3 linked regions of the Drosophila melanogaster genome follow. The protein of the gene in region 3 interacts with the protein of the main gene of each other region in a pairwise test. Each region holds a gene or a part of one and is shown on either strand. Other genes may lie near its edges.

Evidence for each region. The genes of interacting proteins can lie anywhere in the genome.
Region 1: the proteins of CG7763 (region 3) and CG5214 interact in a two-hybrid assay, tested with the Drosophila melanogaster proteins (one large-scale study listed by BioGRID).
Region 2: the proteins of CG7763 (region 3) and CG12182 interact in a two-hybrid assay, tested with the Drosophila melanogaster proteins (one large-scale study listed by BioGRID).

The regions. Positions count from the first base shown.
Region 1 is NT_033777.3:11,242,212-11,249,133, forward strand, and holds CG5214 (uncharacterized protein), read left to right. Parts: upstream 1-2,090; 5' UTR 2,091-2,230; coding exon 2,231-2,305; intron 2,306-2,575; coding exon 2,576-2,679; intron 2,680-2,733; coding exon 2,734-2,835; intron 2,836-2,909; coding exon 2,910-3,449; intron 3,450-3,527; coding exon 3,528-3,672; intron 3,673-3,876; coding exon 3,877-4,182; intron 4,183-4,246; coding exon 4,247-4,381; 3' UTR 4,382-4,651; downstream 4,652-6,922. Other genes in the region: CG17734 (uncharacterized protein), read right to left, coding at 1,344-1,664.
Region 2 is NT_037436.4:2,593,571-2,601,493, reverse strand, and holds CG12182 (uncharacterized protein), read left to right. Parts: upstream 1-1,914; 5' UTR 1,915-1,992; coding exon of another isoform or gene 1,993-2,058; 5' UTR 2,059-2,113; coding exon of another isoform or gene 2,114-2,137; 5' UTR 2,138-2,174; coding exon 2,175-2,229; exon of another isoform or gene 2,230-2,369; intron 2,370-2,423; coding exon 2,424-4,300; intron 4,301-4,351; coding exon 4,352-4,504; 3' UTR 4,505-4,644; coding exon of another isoform or gene 4,645-5,462; 3' UTR 5,463-5,518; coding exon of another isoform or gene 5,519-5,624; 3' UTR 5,625-5,652; downstream 5,653-7,923. Other genes in the region: CG16986 (uncharacterized protein), read right to left, coding at 132-473, 535-624; CG16985 (uncharacterized protein), read right to left, coding at 1,383-1,597, 1,662-1,806, 1,993-2,058, 2,114-2,137; CG16984 (uncharacterized protein), read right to left, coding at 4,645-5,462, 5,519-5,624; dos (daughter of sevenless), read right to left, coding at 6,448-6,972, 7,029-7,629, 7,693-7,923.
Region 3 is NT_033778.4:11,411,202-11,417,682, reverse strand, and holds CG7763 (uncharacterized protein), read right to left. Parts: upstream 3,174-6,481; 5' UTR 3,128-3,173; coding exon 3,059-3,127; intron 2,998-3,058; coding exon 2,368-2,997; 3' UTR 2,221-2,367; downstream 1-2,220. Other genes in the region: drip, read left to right, coding at 4,698-5,051, 5,109-5,255, 6,148-6,288.

The sequences.
Region 1 (6,922 bases), on a different chromosome or scaffold from region 3:
TAAATTGATTTATTTAAGTATATCATATCATGCGAGAGGTATTTATCATCTTGTCGTCTGCTTCGACAGCTTTCGTTTGGATGTTCAACTTGTACATTAAAACACACAATATCACAATCTTACGCAGGTTTACAAAACTGTATCTAATGTTGTGGGCTTGAACGCTCGGGAATACTTGCGAGAGTCCTGCCCTCCAGTGATTCTATCCAAGTGGATCGGTATGAACCATGATGATGCAATAAATAGAGGGTCTGATTGCTTATGTGTAAGTGATCTAGCCGATGTCATCTTGTGATTTTTAGAGAGGGACGCCGAGCAATCAGATGGTCTTTAGTTAGTCAATGACTTTGTGCTAAAATTAAGAGTAAATCAAATAGGGGAAATAAATAAATCAAAACGTATGAAAACTAAATAGACAGTCATGAATATGGGAATATGCGTTTCAGTGAATGTTAATAGACATGTGGAAACCGAAAGCATTTGGAAATAGACATAAATATGAAACAATTGTATTGGGGATTCAATTGGGATTGGGATTCAGGATTCTTTCTGTACGCGGTTAAAACAACTTAAGCTACAGCTAGTATTAACTAAGTAGGAACTGTCCATTACTTTTCCTTGGGCGCCTTGTCGAACAGGTACTCCTTGGCCATGCTGTAGGCCAGTCCGAGGGTCAGACATCCGACGACGGTTCCCTGGGCGGCGACTCGCAGCTGCATCAGGAAGACGCTGGTGCTCATCGTTCCGCGGTTCCGGTACTTGTACGCTCCAATCAATCCGGCGGCCACGAATCCGGTAATACCTGTGAGTGAAGGTGCGAATCACCGATTAGTTTCTATTGTCCATGCGGCGGATTGCTTGTTGTTGCTAGCTGACTGCGCGAAACAGCTGATAAAAGCCAGACGTTGCGCAAATAAAATCATACAAGTAAATACTAATTATGTGAATCTAGTGCTGCCAAAAATGAAGCTAGAATTTAGATAATATTATAGAATCACATAATGTAACATTTTATATTCTAACTAAAATATAAAGCTCTTTAGGAAACTGTTTATTTCAAGCAATATCCATATCTTCGGAAACTATTCGAAAATTTTTAAAGCGGCGCATTTTACTGTAATCTTTTTAATAGCTAAAACGATGAAATCTCTCAAATAGTCAGCACTTGTCAGCGTCAGCTGTTAATTGTCGCATACGCAGACAAGAGAGCTGAACATTCGAACACGCGCAAAGATCAGATGGCTACGTGACGTCACGGATGTGATAATCTCATTTGCCTTGCGATTTGCGTGAATTTCGAAATACTCCTGTTACATCATTCGCTCTCCAGAACGAGTTACGGATCATACTGCATTCACCGTTATGTCACACAGTGACATCAAAAAGTGACCCCAAATTGACGTTAAACTCATGGCCAAGGTCAAGATTAGCCGACTTCCCCGCCGCACACGCAATGTACATTCGTAAATGTGTGTAGATATGTGCGTATCTAGCTGGCTGCTGAGCCAAAAGTTTCCATGTGACGTCACGGCGGCAAAACTTTCGCTGTCCGGAAATTGGCAAAACTCACCCACAAGCATGAAGGGCGATTCCTTTGCTTTCCTGGATAATTTGTTGGCCTGAGCGGCATCCTCCTCGCTGTCGAAAAGGGACTTGGAACTCATTTTCACGAATATTATATTATGTACGCGGGCGGTTCGGATCGGTTTAATCGCTTGGCAACGTTCGCGAAACTTTCTGCAATGGACAGCAGTTCGAGCAATGTGTGACCAGAGCAAAAACTTATCGCTCACAGAAAGGTTTCCCAGAGTAAGCTATATTTAAATAGTCTATAAAGTTCTAAAGTTCTGCTAATCTGTAAAAATATTAAGACCACTTAACTACTCAGGTTATTGCTAAACATTAGATTGCATTTATTTTGATTATACACAATTAAAACTTATCAAGGGCATCGATAGTTTGGCTGCTGTTCTGGCCGCACTTCAAGATAAAAATACCGAAAGCCGCTATCAGCTGTTTGCAAGCTTTGCGCGCTTTTCCGCCAGGTGACGCTTTTGCCGTTTCTGTCATGACATAAGAAATTGGTATTTTTTTAAAGGGAAAGGGGCGGACTGCAGAAATCGACGTTGCTTTGCCTTGGCCGCTAACTCTGTTTTAAATTCGAGTGCTTTGACATAAATTGAAAGTAGAACAACCGTCGAACAGAATTTCGCGGACCAGAGTCGCAGCAATGACGGGAATAATTTCGATCGTAACGAGACGGCTGCCCCAAACTTTGGGAATGCGAGCCCTGCGGAGTAATGAGGTAAAAATTGTGGACGGGCTGGGGATTGCCGGGTGGAGGGGGCCCGTCAGGTGTGTGATATATGCTCCGGCGATATATATGTACATATCAATTTTTATCCCATATTCACTGCCCGCCTGGCGCTCGCCGATTATGTAATTGTATGGGTGTGTGTGCGTGCGCCGCTGAAAAATGGGAAAAACTTTTGTTTGGGACGCCCGCTGCACGTGACCCGTCAGCCGACGTTGCCTCCTGGTTGTGCAATCACTAATATTTGCTTCTTTCCGCCAGGTAAAGCGCTGCATCCGCCAATATTCTCGGTTAGTTGCCTGCGCCGCCCAGCAGCAGCAACTGCTTCGCCAGGATGGCTCGAATCGCTGCCAGGAGGCCACCAGGTAAGTCCTTCACTATCCACAAGAGTCCCTTCATCCAGAGTTGTTTATTCCTAGGCTTCTCACCTGGCAGGGAATCCACACCACGTCGAGCTTGTGGTCGGAGCAGACCGTCAATGTGCCACCCTTTGCGGACTCCATTGCCGAGGGTGACATCAAGTAAGACCACGGCACAGGGCTGGTTTCAAGCAACAGGTTCATGCTCATCTATTAACGATCAATTCCTGCAACAGGTTTACTTGCAAGGTGGGTGACTCATTCGCCGCTGACGAGGCTGTCATGGAAATCGAGACCGACAAGACGACGGTGGCTGTGCCAGCTCCCTTCTCCGGAACTCTAACCGACATTCTGGTGAAGGATGGCGACACCGTCAAGCCCGGCCAGGCTCTGTTCAAGATCAAGCCCGGTGCAGCGCCCGCCAAGGCAGCTGCTCCAGCGGCTGCTCCTGCGCCTGCTGCCCCAAAAGCAGCACCAGCTCCAGCTGCTGCACCCAAGCCGGCACCTCCACCACCTGCGGCCGGCGCACCAAAGCCACCACCACCGCCACCACCAAAGGCAGCCCCTCGACCACCGCCACCTGCTCCAGTGGCTGCACTCAAACCGGCCGTCGCCCAGGTGAAGGTGCCACCAGCGGACGGATCGCGGCAGATCCTAGGCACTAGGTCCGAGCAGCGTGTCAAGATGAACCGCATGCGTCTAAAGATTGCCGCCCGCTTGAAGGATGCCCAGAACACATGTGCCATGCTCACCACTTTCAACGAGGTTGATATGAGGTGAGTGCTTGAACGAACTGAGTGACGAAACTACAGCATGAAATTGAGCTATAAAACGCATAATCGTTTCTTTTTTAGCTATGCCATGGACTTCCGAAAGCAGAATCTGGATGCGTTCACTAAGAAGTATGGTATTAAGTTTGGATTCATGTCGATCTTCGCCAAGGCTAGTGCCTATGCGCTGCAGGATCAGCCCGTAGTGAACGCCGTCATCGATGGCACGGTAAACAAGCCTCCGCCCCGCCCTCCGCTTATCATATTCTTATCGCCCGTGACGTAGTTTGGATTGCCACGCTTTTTTAAATGGCCTTATCAGGCGAACATTTAGCTTATATGGTCGCATTTGTTTATGCAATTTCCCGTGGCGATATGATGAATGTGGAATTTTCTGTGTTGCCAAGCGCTCATAATTGCCTTCATTTTGCAGGACATCGTGTATCGCGACTACGTTGACATCTCTGTGGCCGTGGCTACGCCCCGTGGATTGGTGGTACCCGTCATCCGCAACGTGGAGGGCATGAACTATGCGGACATCGAGATCGCACTGGCCGGTCTGGCCGATAAGGCCAGGCGTGATGCCATCACCGTGGAGGACATGGACGGTGGCACCTTCACCATCAGCAATGGCGGAGTGTTCGGATCCCTGATGGGCACGCCCATCATCAATCCGCCACAGAGTGCCATTCTCGGCATGCACGGCATCTTTGAGCGGCCAATTGCTGTCAAGGGAGAGGTGAGGACTCCTCAACATTCGCTTAACAACCTGCTGTATTTTAATCATTGCATTGTCCAACCAGGTCAAGATACGTCCTATGATGTACATCGCCCTGACCTACGATCACCGAATCATTGATGGACGTGAGGCGGTCCTGTTCCTGCGAAAAATAAAGGCTGCCGTAGAGAACCCAGCAATAATTGTTGCCGGATTGTAATGTGAATTGTCTTAAGACACGTCCACGGCCTTAATTTGATATTAGCCTTCTTAATTTGAAACTGTCTTTGGTTATTTATTATTTCATTTTGCGAGCGTCACAAAAATTAGAAAATCAACCGAATTCGAACTACTCTTAGCAACGGATGTAGTATAATAAATCAAACGTGGATCTTTTCTTAAACATAACCTGTGCACTGAATGTTATTGTTAACCTAAGACGCTGCGATGGAATGTCGTAATAAATCGATGATGAATATTGACCAACCTCAATGCATTCGATTGTCAAATGAAGTGGTTTTTTTTTTGGACTAACGACCTATTAATGGCAGCTTGTAGCGAAACTAAAAATTGATCATATTGAATGTCTTGGTAATCTTATCTGAAGCAATATTTATATATATCTTAATACAAACTATAAACATTCTTATCAAATAATTTGTCATGTGAGTATGGCTTTAATTGAGTTTTAAGTGGATTGCGTCTAGCGAAGGTGATTATTAATTATCTCTGATGGCTTTTTGCACGGGAATAGTTTTGTATTTTTCGATTATTATTATTAATTTGGTCCCATCCGGTCTGTTCCGACTAATATACTGTACTAAAGAAAAACACTTTAAACCCGGGAGATGCAATATGCATAGAAACGGAAGAGATCACATGGCTATATCGACTCGGCTGTTGATTCTAATCACGAATTTATATGGTGGTAAATGTATCCATTGCTGCGTTGCAAACTTATCACTGAAAGCAATTCACTCTCTGGCAGGGATTCATTTAAATTGGCTCTCTCAGATAATTTTAAAGACTATAGGAAGATATTGAAATAAGAGATTTAAAGGGAGATAAGAGGGGAAATAAGAGTTTTAATAATGTCTGACGAATATATACATATATTAATTTTTTCTTACCATTTGAAGAAGTGGTGACCATTATTACAGATTTCGTAAATATCCCTTGGAAGATTCACACTTTCATTTGGAATCCCTTTTCCAAATATCCTCACTTAATAATAGCACAGTTAAGTAAAAGACAGTTTGTATTGTTTTGTTATTAGAGCAAATTGGCTTGTACAATTTTATTGATTTTTGTTTGGTATTTTTTTAATCTCGCTATTTCTAATGTTTACAATATTTATGTGTTTTTGAGGTTGTACGGTTGAAATAACAATTTAAATAATATATATTCGTATAAAGGATTAATTGTGATTTTGATGGATTTGTGCCAAATGATACTTTTGTATACATTAAACTCGTATTTTTAGCTTACTTATTGAAACTTAAATTTTTTTTGTAGATCTATCAAAGATTGATTAACACAGTTTTGATTTTGGTTCTTTTTTTTGTCCTGGTTGAAATTCGTTTTTCCAATGTTTTGCTTAACATTTTCGCTTATCACATGTGTCGAAAAAAAAAATATAAGAAATTGAATCTGACGACGATAATGATAGTGTAGGGAGATTATCGAAATAAAATATAGATAATTATACTTCTGTGTGCAAATGAATTGTGTGTATAAAATCACATAAAAAATGCGGCAATCGTTTCGTCTAAAATATTCCGCAATTCAATTGCGAAATTTCCAAGAGTTGAAATTTTAGACAAAAGGATTGGCATTATCTACATTAGTTTTCCTTTCTTTAGCATTTTGTGCGTTTTTTTTTTGTGCAATTTCTCGTATATATCTCGAATAATTTTAGCTTAACTAAGGGGATACAAAGTGTAGTTACGTGGTACAATTCGCGCTTAATCGTAGTTCCTGTTCTTTCTTCATTTCTTTAGGTCTTCATTTTGTTTCATTTGGGTCTAAAGAGGCCTAAGATGTATCTTTTTGGTCTGCCCGATGGGAAATTTCCATTATCTACGGTTTTTTTTTTTTGCTCAACGGGGGGCGTTGTTGTGGGCGGGGTCAGTCGGCACTGCACTTGGCTTAGTGCAACACTCTTAAGTCTAAGCAATTACACTAGGTATCCCCAACCTTGTGTCCGAAATGTTAACTTTTCGCGATTGTGGTCCTTTTACTCCTGTTCTGGCTATGGAATATATGCATATATGCTATACTCGCATACTACCTGTCCTTTTGTTTGGCTGTCTCTCTCTATCTATCTCTATCTGTCTCTCTCTTTGCGTAGATCTGGCCGGGAAGGATATGCTTTTCTAGCTTTCTTTGCTTTTCTTTCATTTCGAATGTCTTTCAATAGAACTATTGTACAAGATTCCATTTGCTACTCTTCGTGGGTGCTTCTCGCGTTTGTCTCAATGATTTTTGCAAATTTCCAAATTGCCCGAAACTTTTTTGGTAAATATGTTCTTTAAATTTTTTTTGTTTTATCGTAGTCCTACTAGCCAAAGGTGGGAAGATGCTGCTCTCTAGAAATGTTCTTGTGTGTAAATAAAATTCATAACTAAATTTCTGTGCCGGATTTGTCGGAGGGGAGGTTGGAGCTACTATAACTGCTACTTCGTTGTAAATTTGGTTGCTTGAATTTGCTTGAATTTGGTTTTTTCTTTTTGGGCTTCGGCTTGGGTGATTTCGAGGGATT
Region 2 (7,923 bases), on a different chromosome or scaffold from region 3:
GCTACACGTGTAATAAAATAAAGCACATTAATAACCCATAATCATTTATTTGTACAAATTATGAAACTTACTTGGGGCGCTTCGAAAATATTTTTCAAAACGAAGTAGCTCCCAATTTGAGACTATCTAGTCTAGTCAAATTTGATATACTTTAGATGTGTGCCCTTGGCTATCACCAAGTCGTCCTTCTTGTGCTTCAGGGTGCAATCGATGAAGGCAAGGTACTTGCCCACCTTGGACAGATTGGCCTGAATCACCACATCGTCGCCCAGTTTGGCGCCGTTTAGAAAGTTTACACTAAGATCTACCGAAACTCCGGGATGACATGGCTTGGACATTAGGGCGTAGGTGGTTATCAAGTCCACCAGGGTCATGATATAACCGCCGTGCAAAAACTTGTACAAGTTCACATGATCCTGGTCCACCTTTAGCTCAGCAGTGCAGGCTCCATCGCCACCGTCTACGATCTTGACCTTTAATGGAATATAAGGATGAGATAATGATATTGGTAAGGAGACTCTATGGTGATCTAACCTTCTGTAGGTGACTTTCAAAGCCCGTTGACTTGTTGATAATCTCGGTGATGTGTTTAGCGAATTCGAGTCCCTTCTTGCGAGTTCCCATATTATTTATTGATGTTGCTTTACAGACGATCCGCTAGCTTCTATATAACTACAAAATGAATTAGTTTGTCCGATCGGAACGATTAGAAATATACTAGATTTAGTTTTGTAGATAGATAAGTAGTCGTAACGTGCACTTATATCTCAAGTGTCAGATAGTAATTGTTTTACAATAGAACAATCCAACTTTATTGTATGTATGACGTGTGTAAGTTTGGATGGGACTAAATCCATTAAAAAATAAATCACAGTAGTATATTAACAAATGGATTGCTTTGATTTTTTCAATATTTGATTTCATTATCTTCGAGTGCAGTTTTCCGCTTTTCGATGAAAAGTAAACAATTAGCAAGTATCAAAAAATAAGGTAAACATAATATAGCACGATATTATGAAATAGTTAGTATTTAGTTAACGGATCCTACCTAACTATCCCCGTACTGCCCGAAATTTACATAAAAATCTGAAAATCTAACGTAACACCTAACAAAACAATTTCAAAACAAACAACAGCTGTTTTGCGATAAGCAGAATCGCCAATCGATAAGTTAAAAGGGCAAATCGATATGCAAAGTCCTACCTATTTAAAAATTATCCGTTGGGATTTCTATAGTCTTTCATCTATTTTAGTTTTAAATATCTTTATTTTGTAAATTAAGAAATAACTAACTTAAGAAATAATAAATAATTAAACTAGTACGTCTTAAGCAGAGGTTCGAAAGATTTTATTTCGTTTTCTGACGATCTACAAAAATTGTTTTAAAAATCCAGTTTTTCCTTGTCGAACTGAATGTACTTGACCTGTCCGCCCTTGGCGATGATCTTTCCATCGGACTTACGCCTCAGAATGCAGTCCAAATAGGCCATTTTCTTACCGGCCCGCACGGTATTACAATCAATTTCAATAAGTTCGCCAGGTTTCGCTGCTGCAATGTAGCTTACATTCAGGTTGGCCGTAACTCCGGGATGGGATCCTTGAAATTTAAAAAAATTTCATTGTAGATTCTATAGATTGTAATAAACAAACTTTCAAAATACCTTTCGACATAAGGGCATATGTGGTACAATTATCAACAATTGTTGCCGTAAGACCACCGTGCAAAGTTCCTTGGCGATTCAAATGCTCATTGGCCACAGTGAACTCCCCTATTGCGCGACCATCTCCACCGCCTGTAATTTTAATCTGCGAATTGAAATTTGTTTACATTTTTGAATCTCTGAAGATCCCACGAGAGAGGTGAGCACTTCACGGTTATCGATTGCAGCGAGCTGAATTATGTAATACCATCACTGATGACAGTCAGCTGTTTTTGAGAGACTTCGACGGCGTCGCTTTAAAATCGGCTGCACAAATTGTTTAGAATCTTACCATTTTCAAGACGCGGTCGAATCCATTGGACCCGCTGGCGTACTCGGACATCTGCTTCACAAAGTCCTTTGAAAAGAAAGAACTTCAGTTATCTACTCAACAAGTTACATGGTGCTCTAACCATTCCCAGTTTCTTGGCCGCCATTCCGGTGGATTTGGATTCCTGAACTGAGCACGACGAAATGACGAAAGTTACTGAGGGAGAAATTTCACATGGCGTTCAAGATGTCGGGAAATGTGAGTGTATGCGTGCTAAATAGATATACCCACACATCTGAGATAGTGATTGCCGATTTCGCGCGGTTTGTTGTGCTCGCTCTGTTCGCACTTACAAATAATTCCTATTCTTCAATGAAATAGTGTAACTGGAATATCTTGTAATATAATTGCAGTTTGTTATTGCAATTAATAAATGTTTAATTTCGTTCTAGATTATCTGGATTTTCACCTTCTAGCCAAAGGATTCGTCCGCCAGGACTCGGTACACGACTTTGTAAACAGCGATTCCGATGGAGACTTTATAGCACTGAGCGGCTCCAAATCGGAAGTGATCACTCTGGAATTGAGCAGCAAGTTCATGGTCGTGGATCCCTTTCCGTATTTTGTGGCCATTTATGATTCCAACGCTGCGGAAACACGACCTCTGGACGTTTTGGCCAACAAAGTGGATCTGGTTGCCATATACGACAGCTGCGATGTCCTGGAGGCACAGCACTTGGCCCTGGACCCGGCATACACGGCTGTGTGCTCCGTTGCCGTGCCACCAGCCAGACTAACAGCTGTTAAGCGAGCACCCAAGCTGGCAGCTAATGGAAATCTCCTCCTGGGCTCCCTCAACACTTATGGATCCTTGAGCCTAATAAACAAGTCCGCTGAGTACAATCGTTGGAACCCTGTGGAAGGACTAAATATCGCTGAAACTCTGAGGGACACTCTGCTGCCTGAAGTGGACATCGCCAAGATAAAAGACTTTAAGAGCTATCAAGAATATATTAATCCCGCCTGGATCACTATGTTTGCTTGGTTACCTGATGATGCAGATGCCACTGGCCAGCATGTTTTGGTTCTGGGAACAGCCGCAGGAAGTTTGTGGTTGCTCACACTAAGCGCCGATGTCAAAACTCTTTTAAGTCATCAAGAAACGAAAACCTCAATGGGTCGTATCTGCCATATACAAGCTTTCAAGGACCTTCTACTGGTGGGCGATAGCAACGGACTCATTCACCTGTACCAATTGCCAGCTAAGGGAAATACAGCTCTCGCCTTAGTGAAGCCCTTGTGGGAGAAAGCCGATCGCATGGGTCTGCAAATGGCAGTGATCACTGAATGTCCCAGAATGGATTGCTATTATATAACCTGCTGCAAGGCGGCGCACCTGCTGACCTGGAGCATGCCAAGAACGGGGAGCACAGACTGCCTGCAAGCTCGGATCTATGTCGGCGGAATGAAGATCACCGCTCTCTGCAGCCTGGAGAACAGTAGCTACGTTGCAGGAACCGCTGGAAGCTGTTTGTCTTGCGTACAAATTATCCACGAGAATAATCAGCTTAGCCTGCAGATGCAATCGATAGCCATGGGTGTCCTTCAGGATTTCCAGGTGATGGGACTGTGCACCAGTAGGCACAAGAACTTAATGACCCTGTTACTCTACCGCAACAAGGAATATCTAAATGAAACTGTATCTCAAAAGAACCAGTTGGTTATGCAAGTGCTCAAGGTGGGGAATCAGGATCCACTTGATCAGCTTGTCAGGCATCTGGAATCCAATAAGCCCATGAATCACTATACCGATTTATTAGCTGGACTACGTCTGCACGTTTTTGCCGAGGAGAATTGGCAAAAATTTATGGACTTTTGTCCATTAGATTCCATTGAATTTGCCGATACCGCCACTGAAGGTCAGCTGCAGCAGCTGCAAATTAAATTTCATGTTCTTCAAAACGTGATTCGCCTGCAATCGAGCCACCTCCAGCTGACAGTTCACATCCAAAAGTCCCGGGATGAACTGCAGCTGCTCCTTGCGATGCTGAATATCACACACATAAGACTGAGGCTCCAGTTTATTGGGTCATTAAGTAAGAGATCACCATTCCAGGAGCAGGCGATAAAATGTATGTTCGAGGAGGCCCACAGACTGATAAATAAACTCAATGACGACTTCACGGAAAACCATGCCCTAGGATCCACAGCAAGGACATTCGTTGAACAAATGGGCAACCATATTCAGCACTTGCACGAGATGCTAGGTATACCTGTGATATCTAATCCCCAGAAGCAACTTCATCGATGCAGTGTGTCCTTTGTGGAGGTAAGAATTCACTAGAATTCATTTTAAGACAAGACTACAGTATCCGTACAGATCTCCCTCAGCTTGGAGCGACGCTACTGCAGCCTCTGCAACCGCCAAATCCTATTCGAGCTGGACAATCTGCAAGAACTCTACGAGTCGGGGAGACATCTGACATGTCCCGTTTGCCATGGAAGCTTTGCCACGGAAATGTTTAATGCATAAACGTTAAATTTATTCTCAATCTTAATTACGAAGTGTTTTGTGTGTCCGCCTCTAAGAGCAAAGCAAGTGAATCCATGGAGACACCTCACTCGGCTTCCAGATGCCGACACACATGGTCAGAAAAGGTGTGTGTGTCATTGTTAGTACTCGGAAACATAGATAATGGGAGTGGTCTCGATTAGCAGAATGTCCTGCTCCACCTGGCGAAGATCGGACTCCAGCTTGCTTTTGCGCTGCCGCTTGGCGATGCTGTCGATAAGGAGCGACATCGACTGATACTGCTTGGTCATCTCGGTCAGGCTCAGTCGCAGTCCCTCGAGGATCTCATTTCGCTCGGCCTGCTCCATCACCCGCATACCCGGCATTGGCGGCGGACCACTTGATTGGACGGATGCCCTGGTGAAACCCTTGATACCGCGGCACAGCTCCAGCAAACGTGCCTGTTCCTTGGCACACACCGCATTCATGTCGGCCAACATCCTCTTGGTTTTCTTGAGGTAAACAGGCACCTTGCCGAAATCCTTGCGGCAGATAAACTGCGGTACCAATCCGGAATTGAGTAGATCGTGACGAGCTCCCACGGGAGTGTCTACATAACGAGGTGGCGGGGGACAGGGAACCGTTTGTCCGGCACATATCTTGTTGCGTTTGATGAAGTTAGGTACCATTGCCGGCTTTTTGCCGCCACTGCCCGGTGGTGGTAGTGGGGGCATTGGCGGCATCTTGGGACACTTGTGGGTGTTCTCTCGCCGCCATTTGATGCCCTGGCTCTTGCGCAAATAGGCGCACGGTGGGTCAATCGGAGTGTGAGCACAGCCCATGGTGCGGTGGGCTGATTTCTTGGCCTCTGTCAGGACGCGGGTTCCATCGTTCTGGAGGATAATCGATAGCTTCTTGTCCTCCTCGTTAAAGCGTTCGCGAAGTCTCTTGGCATACTTGGCTGCCCTCTCCACAACAGCTGCAAAATTGCTTAAAGTTAGGTGGGAGGTAACGATTTTTAGTACGAATCCCTACGATTTTTGTAGACAAAAATTGATTCCTTAGGTCCTTGGGCCTTCACAAAGTCCTGCTCGCACTCGAGAATATTCTCATCGTGATGGGTGATATAAACCAGGGACATTGTAATACAAATATGTAAGGATGAAGGTAGGGAACTCGAAAGCGTGCTAGTTTACTGACTATTCGTTTAATAATAACAGTCTGTTTGGTGGAGACTCCTGCGTTGCCAAGTACCTCTGCGTTGACTTGGATTGATTTAACTCGAAACAAAGGTTGCTATAGGATTTCCAGAATAAACAGAAGGCAACATCGTTTCCTGGTGATATTGTAATATTCAGATATTTTCTAGCAATCGGAATTCGATATTTGTTCTGGATCTTTTAGGAGAACACACAAAATTGGTATTATTGTATATATATTTTTTAAAGCACAAAATCAAGCTACAGCTTGTGTCGCACACGAGTTACATTATTAAATTGTAAATAATTTGTTACCATATAAAATTCGTGTATATAAATATTTCGCTTGCGTATATAAAATAATTGTTTGCATTGTAAAATTAGCACTAAGATCGTTTGTCATGGTTACATTTTGATTCCGAAGCTTAACAATAAACATGGAAGTGTTGGAAGCACGATTTAAATACGAATACGACATAGATTCAGATACGGGTTACAGATTACAGATTCAAAACAGCACACAGAAATGCTGGTGCCGTCTTACAAGCTAGATATGTGGTTTAATGAATAATGAATTTGACGATGTTAACGAATGTAAAAGCCACTCGAAATTTGCACTGTTTTTGGATGGGGTCAGCTCTCCTCAGCTGACCACCAATAGGCACTACGAAAATCTCGGATCAGCAACATGGTCCTTCCTTTGCTATTGCACGTTGACAAGTAGATGTACTGGAGATATGATTTCATTTAGCTGAACCAGCAGTTTCACTTGTTGCCGCTGCTCTCGCGCTCCTCTCGAATCCTCTTAAATGCCTCCGTCTTGACAAAGTCCACGGATCTATAGACCACGCTGCTAGGCACTGGCGCTCGAGCTCCGCCAGCTTCGACGCCTGCGAATCGCATTCCACTAGCTCCATTTCCGCCTTGTGAGTACAGATTCCCCACACTCATGCTGGATCGATTTAGCAATGGCGGTTTGTTGGTCACATCCAGATCAAAGTACTGCAGCTTGTGCTCAGTCTGCGCCGCCGCTTGCTGCTTGGGAGCAGCTGCTGCCGTCAAGCTCATCATGGCAGCCGCTGCGGAGGCGGTGCGCTGATGTTGTACCGACATGCTGCCGGGACTGTTCGGATGATGCCGATGCTGTTGGCGAGGCAGGGTGCGGGTCTCGTGAAAGAAGGCGTTGGCTGCCGCCGGGGAGTGTACATCCGTTTCATGCGGCAGCACCATTGAGAGAGGGGCACCGGAGGAACGTCGCGTTGCCGGCGACATGGTAGCCGAATTGCCCAACTAAAAAGAAGTCATTAGTAAATTGAATATGGGTGTGCACAACGTTTGTCACTCACCTTATAGGCATTCGGTTTGCACTTCCTGTCCACACTGGGCGGTCCAATGGGCTGCTGCAGTTGGGCTGCACCCAGTTTATTGGTTAACTGATCTACGCCCACCGGGGGCTTTGCAGGAAACTCCTCCGGCGGTTTGTCCTCTACAACTGGCAATCCACCCGCCACCTTTGGCTTAAGTTTCCGGTTAACCGGCGGGCAGTCCGCCTGCTCCATGAAGTCGTATCGAAAAACATTGCCCTCCATCTTTGTGGGAGCTGCATTGGTGTAGCAGTGTCGAGGCAATGTGCGCGCACTGGTGGGCGATGATGCGACTGCCTGTGCCTCACCCATCAGGCCGGGATTCGCTGCCGCTGAAATTGCGGCCACTGCACCCAGATCGGCCGCCATGAGATTCGGTGTGGATGCTGCAATGGGATTGGAATTGTGCGGGCTGGTGACTGGTCGCTCGCCCAGCAGCTGGTTGACGTTGTAGTAAGGCTGCTGGTGGGACCTTGGAATGTCATAGCTTTCCTCGATGAAAGCGGAGTGCGCGTTGCGGCGGGCCACAATGGCCGGCGAAGTATTTTCCGTATCCGACAGCTGCGGCAGATCGCGAGGAATTCTGTCAATGCGCAGGATGATTTAGTAGGCCGTTTAAAATTGAATTGAGTGTGTGTTAACTCACTTTTCATTCTCCTTAAAGTCCAATATGAGATTATTTTTGTTCTTCAGCACCTTGGCCAGCTTATCCAGCGTTCCCTGGTCACCAGCCTCTGGCAGAGATGCTGCTCCTGCTAGCTTGGAACTCTTTTCAGCTGGTGGCACGATCGCTCCTCCTTCCTCGGGCATTTTAGAGAATCGCTGCGAGTACGTTAGCACGAATGATTCGTTTTCAATGGAACTATCCGAAGGTCGG
Region 3 (6,481 bases):
TCAGCAGCATCTGGAGATCCAGCTACCCATTTCCAAGCCGACCCCAGCCAGTCCAGTGAGCGGGATTTGCGCCGCATGCAGAAATCGCGCTTACAAAAAGACAATTCGTAAATATCTGGTCGTCTAAGTTGTTCTAAGACTACGTAGTGTGTGGGGGTACGGTACATTTTGTGTACTTATATTTTTATTTTTTTATATTTCTTATTTCTTATTTCTTATAATCTGTATTTTTTTATATTATTTTTTTTATAGTTTTTTTTGTATTTCTTTTTGTATTTCTTAACTCATTCTTTTTTTTTTTTTTTTTTTTTTTTTTTTTTTTTTTTTTAACTAATGTTTTTTTTATATAGGGTATGCATGGGGGGAATATTTCATTAGCTGCCACAACGTACTTTTATTACTTTCGTTATTCTTTTTCGCGTTTCTTTTTTAAATGTGAAAGCCACGTCTCAATTTCTTAGATCAGATTTGTGGAAAATTTTTCCTGATCTGGTTTTAACTGTTATTACTTTACGGAAATGTGAGACAACGGTTTTAACCCGATAAAAAAGAATATCTGTTCTTCTTTGCTTTTTCTTTATTTCTCTAAATTTAGCAAATATGGCAATAAAGTTTAATGAAATATTTCACTCACCCTTGTATGCTCTTTATTAGTTTTCGTCGTTTAGGTTGTACCCCTACAGCATGAATATTCTATTGGGATAAGTAAAAAAAGGTGAATTAGTGTATTGTAGAGAATTTTTATTCATTTCGTTTCGGGAAATTGGGGAAATTGTACTATACTTGTTTTCCTTTGAATTGTGGTGTTGTGCATGTGTTTATACAATTTTTGTGCGCTATTCCATTTTGCAATATTTTTTCCTTGCGTGCGTGCTGTTACAGTTTTTTATTGATGACCTCTAATTTATTTCGGCACTGGGCACGGTGGTTCCGTAGTATCCCTTTTGGCTGGTTGCCTACTAAGGTACGGCCGCCACACAACTTGTTGGGCGGTTTTTTTTTGGGTGCATTCCACACCACTTAACGTATCCAACAAGCTGCCACACACCACCTTATCACTCTGGGCGCTCATATTACTCGTACTGCCGCAGGTAAACTGCTGCAATGGTTAATTATTGGTTTATTATACACAATCTTTTGCACTCGCGAATTGGCAAGGAGAGAAAAAAAAAATTTTCCCACAAGCCGTACCGCCGCAGTGGGTTGATCGTGTTTTAATTATGTTATAGGTATCGTACAACTTTTGCGCTCGGCATGGGCGACGTGGCGTCCTCCGGTAGCGGGTCGTTGTTTTATTAATTTAAATTAGGTCTTGGCGCAACATAGGTTTACATTTTTATTTTAGAAATTTTACACCTTTTATTGAATTATGCAATATTTGTTGCGCCCCGGGATGGGCGTAGTTCCCCCCGGCAGCGGGTAATTGCTATTTTATCATTTTATACACAGCTCACGCAGCACTTCTTTTTCATTTATGGATTTCAGATCTTAATCTGACTTATGCACACCACCACTATTTTTACGCACAAATTTCCACAATTTTTTCGTATCACTTTTATCGGCCGGACATTGCCGGTCCCTGCTCGGGCGCCAGTTAACGCAAGTTCCACTTGCATCAGGGTTCTCGGCACTCGCTGCCGCATACCTCACCTCGATATGACAACCAACATGCTGTGGTTCTCCAAATAATAGTCAAGATAGTTAAGAGGGTTCGAGTTTACGATTAGCTTTATTTTAAGATTCAGTTCGCGATCTGCTAGCGGTTCCGTTATGTGTCCGTTCGACACTGGGGCCTCTTCTCCCGCCCCGCTGCTTTTATATCCGCTTCCCCCGTTGACCCCTCACCCTGAGTGCGACCAACGGCACTTGTTCCGAATGCACACATACACAAACATGTTCCTAGACAGGCCCCGAGTCGCCTGCTGACGGGGCCCGAAAACACGAGAGCCGAGCGCTGGTGAGTCCTGACGAAGATCGCAAGAAGAGGGTTCGTAACTTACACGAACATGTTACTAGACAGGCCCCGAGTCGCCTGCTGACGGGGCCCGAAAACACGAGAGCCGAGCGCTGGTGAGTCCTGACGAAGAGCGCAAGAAGAGGGTTCTTAACTTATATATCTCGATCGGGGGAAGAGTCTTGCCAGACTTTTTGTAGCCAATGGAAAACCTTGAGAGCACGGAGAGTGCTGACACAAAATAATGAAATAGTGGTCAATTCATATAGGATTATATGTATATTCGTAAATAAAGTCTTATTCCAACTTGTTCGTTTTGAAATAAACATTATACTTATTTCCTCCATAAACCATGTGGTAAATGTCAGATATCAAAAACTAATATTAACTTCAAAGAGATAAATATTTTTGTATTATATTTCAATAGATTTTTCGCAAATAAAATAGAGATTGGCAAAACATGAGTTATCGTTCATGGTAGTTTTCCCATTGAATGTTCGGATATCCACACACTCTCCATCTTTTGTGGGTTCCCCATCGGCCCAACTCAAAAAATTGGCCTTCGATCCTTTGGTCACAGAAACGAATTCACTTTCGTTGAACTGATTGGTCACGTCGATCCAGTAGCGATTCAGGCCATTAAGTTGGTTATTGAATCTATCCAATTCCTCCTGACTTTGCAGACTGGCCAGATGGCCACCCATTTTGTGGCATTTATCCAAAGCATCGTGCCAGTTTAGCTTCTCTTCCTTTTCGATGTAGTAGTATTTGCTTCCCAGTTGTTGGAAAATTTCGTTTTCTTCCAGTTTTCTGCCCATTGCTGTACCGTGTGTCAGCAGTTGTTGCGAAGTATTTTGATTTTCCAGCTGCAAGTTCGTTGAAGTGCCAAAATTGTCCAGTCTTCGGTCATTTAGGGCTATTCTCGCTATTGCAACAGCTGCTTCACAGGCTTCAACCCTTCGTTGCAAATTGCCCATGCTCGCGATGCAGGGATTCAAGACACCGTAGCAATATGCAGCACATTGGGAATCGCTTTCAACGCCCTAAGAAGATATGTGAATGTAAATATTTAGCATTTCTAAACCACTTCTCTACTTCACTCACCTCGCAGGCTGCTGAATAACTTGAACTCAGACACAACGGGAGTACCAAAAATATAATAGATTTTTGCATTGCTGCGATTCTGAGATCTTTTAAATCCGAGTGCCAAAAACAGACTGACTTAAATGCTTCGAAACCAAGTATATTAGAAAGAAATCCAATAAAGAAAGAAACAGAAAATCTGACGCTGCATGATGATAAGAGATAGGTACTATGTACGACTTATCGCTCTGCACAGCATGTGGGTATAGTTATCTGCATACACAGAAAAACATAATGCAATTCATAATTCATAAAAATTAAAAATATATTTAACATTTTTTAATTAGATCGGCTTAGAACTAAAAAGTCACATAGTGTAATTAACCCATTCGAAATGCGTAATAAACTCGTAGCGTAATCACATAGGCCTAACTCGATTAGAGCCATATTTCATCGATGACTCACGTCTAAGTTCAGTCAGTCCGTCATTCGCGGTTTTCACACGCAGCCGGTCTGTCGATCTCGATTGCTTTCGTTGCATATATTAAATTTAATTATGGGTTTCGGGCTCGACAATAAATTTGATTAATTTCACGACTCTTCGAGTGTGTGCAGCTAAGACGAGTGGAGGCATTGAGTCGAGAACAATAGGCCTAAACTATTGTGGCTAAAAGCTTTAGATCCAAACGATTAGGTCAGGCTGAGTGGCGGCAGCAAAGGCGGCAACTTAGTCTTAGTATAGACGAAGTCGAAATTGCGCTGCACGCATGCGCATAACCAAAATGTCAAGAAGTTGTTCGAGTTGTAGTGGCTGCTCGGATTTGTGGCCTATTGCCGTTTGGGCCGCAAAACGCGACTCGAACTTGCTCTTGGCGGCATTTGTAATTAGCGTTTTGTGGCCGAACAGCCAACACACGGGCATTTTTTTTTGTTTTTTTCTTTTTTGCGCATTTATTAATTAAACGCACAGCGACGCACGACATTGGCCGTGCGTCCAATGCGAACTGCGAACCGCGAAATCCATATCGAAATCGAATTCGTATCACCAAAACGTAGAGAAACACGGCTGGAAAGAGATATCAAACATAGAAGCCTGCACATCGACCTTGGGCGCAGAGTGAACAGTGCATTTCGGGCTCCATTCATAACACTTGATCCAATCCAATCCAATCCAATACGATGCGATGCGATGCGAGGCGATCCGATCCAATGCGATTTCCATTTAAGTGATTCCATGTGATCTCTTCACGGGCAATGACTCAACAGAACCCCGAATCACTTTTACTTCCCAGCCAGCTCCACCTGAACTTTGCAGACACGCTAAACACAATAAATGCACTCGAGTGCATCTCACGTCTGACAAATTGCTTGTATCCGCTGGCAGTTCGATATGCAACGATATTGTGCAATGGAAAATTCGGAAAATCGCACAATCAGCTTCATGGCAAAGGGCAAACTTTGAGCGCAGCTATGGTTAAGATGTTGCGTTGTCAACTCGACATTTGCAAGCGCCGATGGAGGTGGAGATAGGCCATTATCTACATTATGTTCGACTGGGCCTTAGCCTCCTTGATTTGATCTTCATACTTTTTTTCCTCTTTTATTGAGCCTTATAATAAATATATTCTTGAATATCCTCTTATTTTGTTCTCTCTCTCAGGGCTTGGGCCACCTCAGTGGCTGTCACATTAATCCGGCGGTCACCCTTGGATTCCTGATCGTTGGTGAGATCAGCATTCTGAAGGCTGCCTTCTACATCATCGTCCAATGCGTGGGCGCCATTGCTGGAGCGGCTGTGATAAAGGTGGCACTCGATGGAGTGGCTGGTGGCGACCTGGGAGTATCCTCCTTTGATCCCTCCCTGAACTGTGCACAGGCGGTGCTGATCGAAGCGCTGATCACCTTTATTTTGGTTTTCGTGGTCAAGGCTGTTTCGGATCCTGGACGCCAGGATATCAAGGGATCAGCGCCACTGGCTGTTGGTTTGGCCATCGCCGCTGGCCATTTGTGTGCAGTGAGTACGAGGTGATGGAGTTCTCCGACTGGAGGTTAATAAGTGTACCATTTACAGATCAAACTGAGCGGTGCCAGCATGAATCCCGCCCGGTCCTTTGGTCCCGCCGTAGTGCAGGGCGTCTGGACCTATCACTGGGTTTACTGGGTGGGTCCCATTGCCGGCGGCCTGTTGGCCGGAATCATCTACAGATTAATCTTCAAGGTACGCAAGGGCGATGATGAGACCGACTCGTACGACTTCTAAACAGTGGCCGAATACCATATATGTATTTTTGTAAATGTCCGCACCTGCTTTCCATTCCCATCACACATTCGCTTTCCCATCGAATTCGTTTGCCGAAATTTCTCGTAGTTTAGGTTTGCTCCACCATCACAACCAAGCTGAATTTTCAACGCAATTTGTACCATTTTATTTTTTAAACAATAAGAAAGCAAATGTCTCGTTTAGTTGTACCGCGATGCCCCAGCACTTTAAAATATGCAATATTGTATTTGAGTAATTTTAAGCTAAATTATATGCACATCATCATTACGCGAATCGAAGGAAAACTGTATTGAAGCTTAACTAAATTGTACTGGGAAATCACTTTCCAAAGCAGCGAACAGGTGGATTACCTACGCTGTTGATCGCCACTTGCTGAGCACCTGCGAATTGTATTATGACTATGTGTAATAAAAAAATATAAAGAAATTACCAATGTTCATCTTTGTCTGAATGTCCTGGGGCTTCATTCATTCATTGCCAATCGTCATCAGTTACTCTTTTTTATTATTTCTATTTTTTACTTGTGCGTCATCCTTAAAGCAACGGGTATAAATGTAGTAAAACTAAGTCCAGAAATCAGGAATTTGATGCTAGCATTTGGGCTTACCAATACATCACACTTAATCATTGGGTGACATTTATACTAATTATGAAGTTTAGACCTATGCTGCTTTCGGAAATAAACTAATTCGGGAAATTGAGTATAGTTTTCCGTAATTCGGAAGGAGAGCATTCAATGGATATCGCTTGGTTTTGCAATAAGTATAAAGCGGGCGTTAAGCCGTATCCTGGGTATTTTTCTGTGTGGATGCTAATGTATACATTTCAGCTTAAGAAGGGCTGTACCCCATTTCAAGGTCATGAATCATTGTGGTCACTAGATGCCCTCAGAATCCCTGTAATGGCATGGTTCGCATTTTCAATCCTTTGCATACTACTGATGATGTACTGCGTGCTCACACAAACATAACGTGGATCTCGATACGTGTATTAATTAGGATATTAAGGTATTTTGGTTCTCTTTTTGTGTTTTTATTTTTCTTTAAATATTCCACCGGTATTTTAAGCTGTTATTTATTTTTAGGTTTGATTTTTATCATCATGGAGGAAAAGGACGTTTAATTAAGCCATTGCCATATTCGATCATAAAAGAACTGCAAATA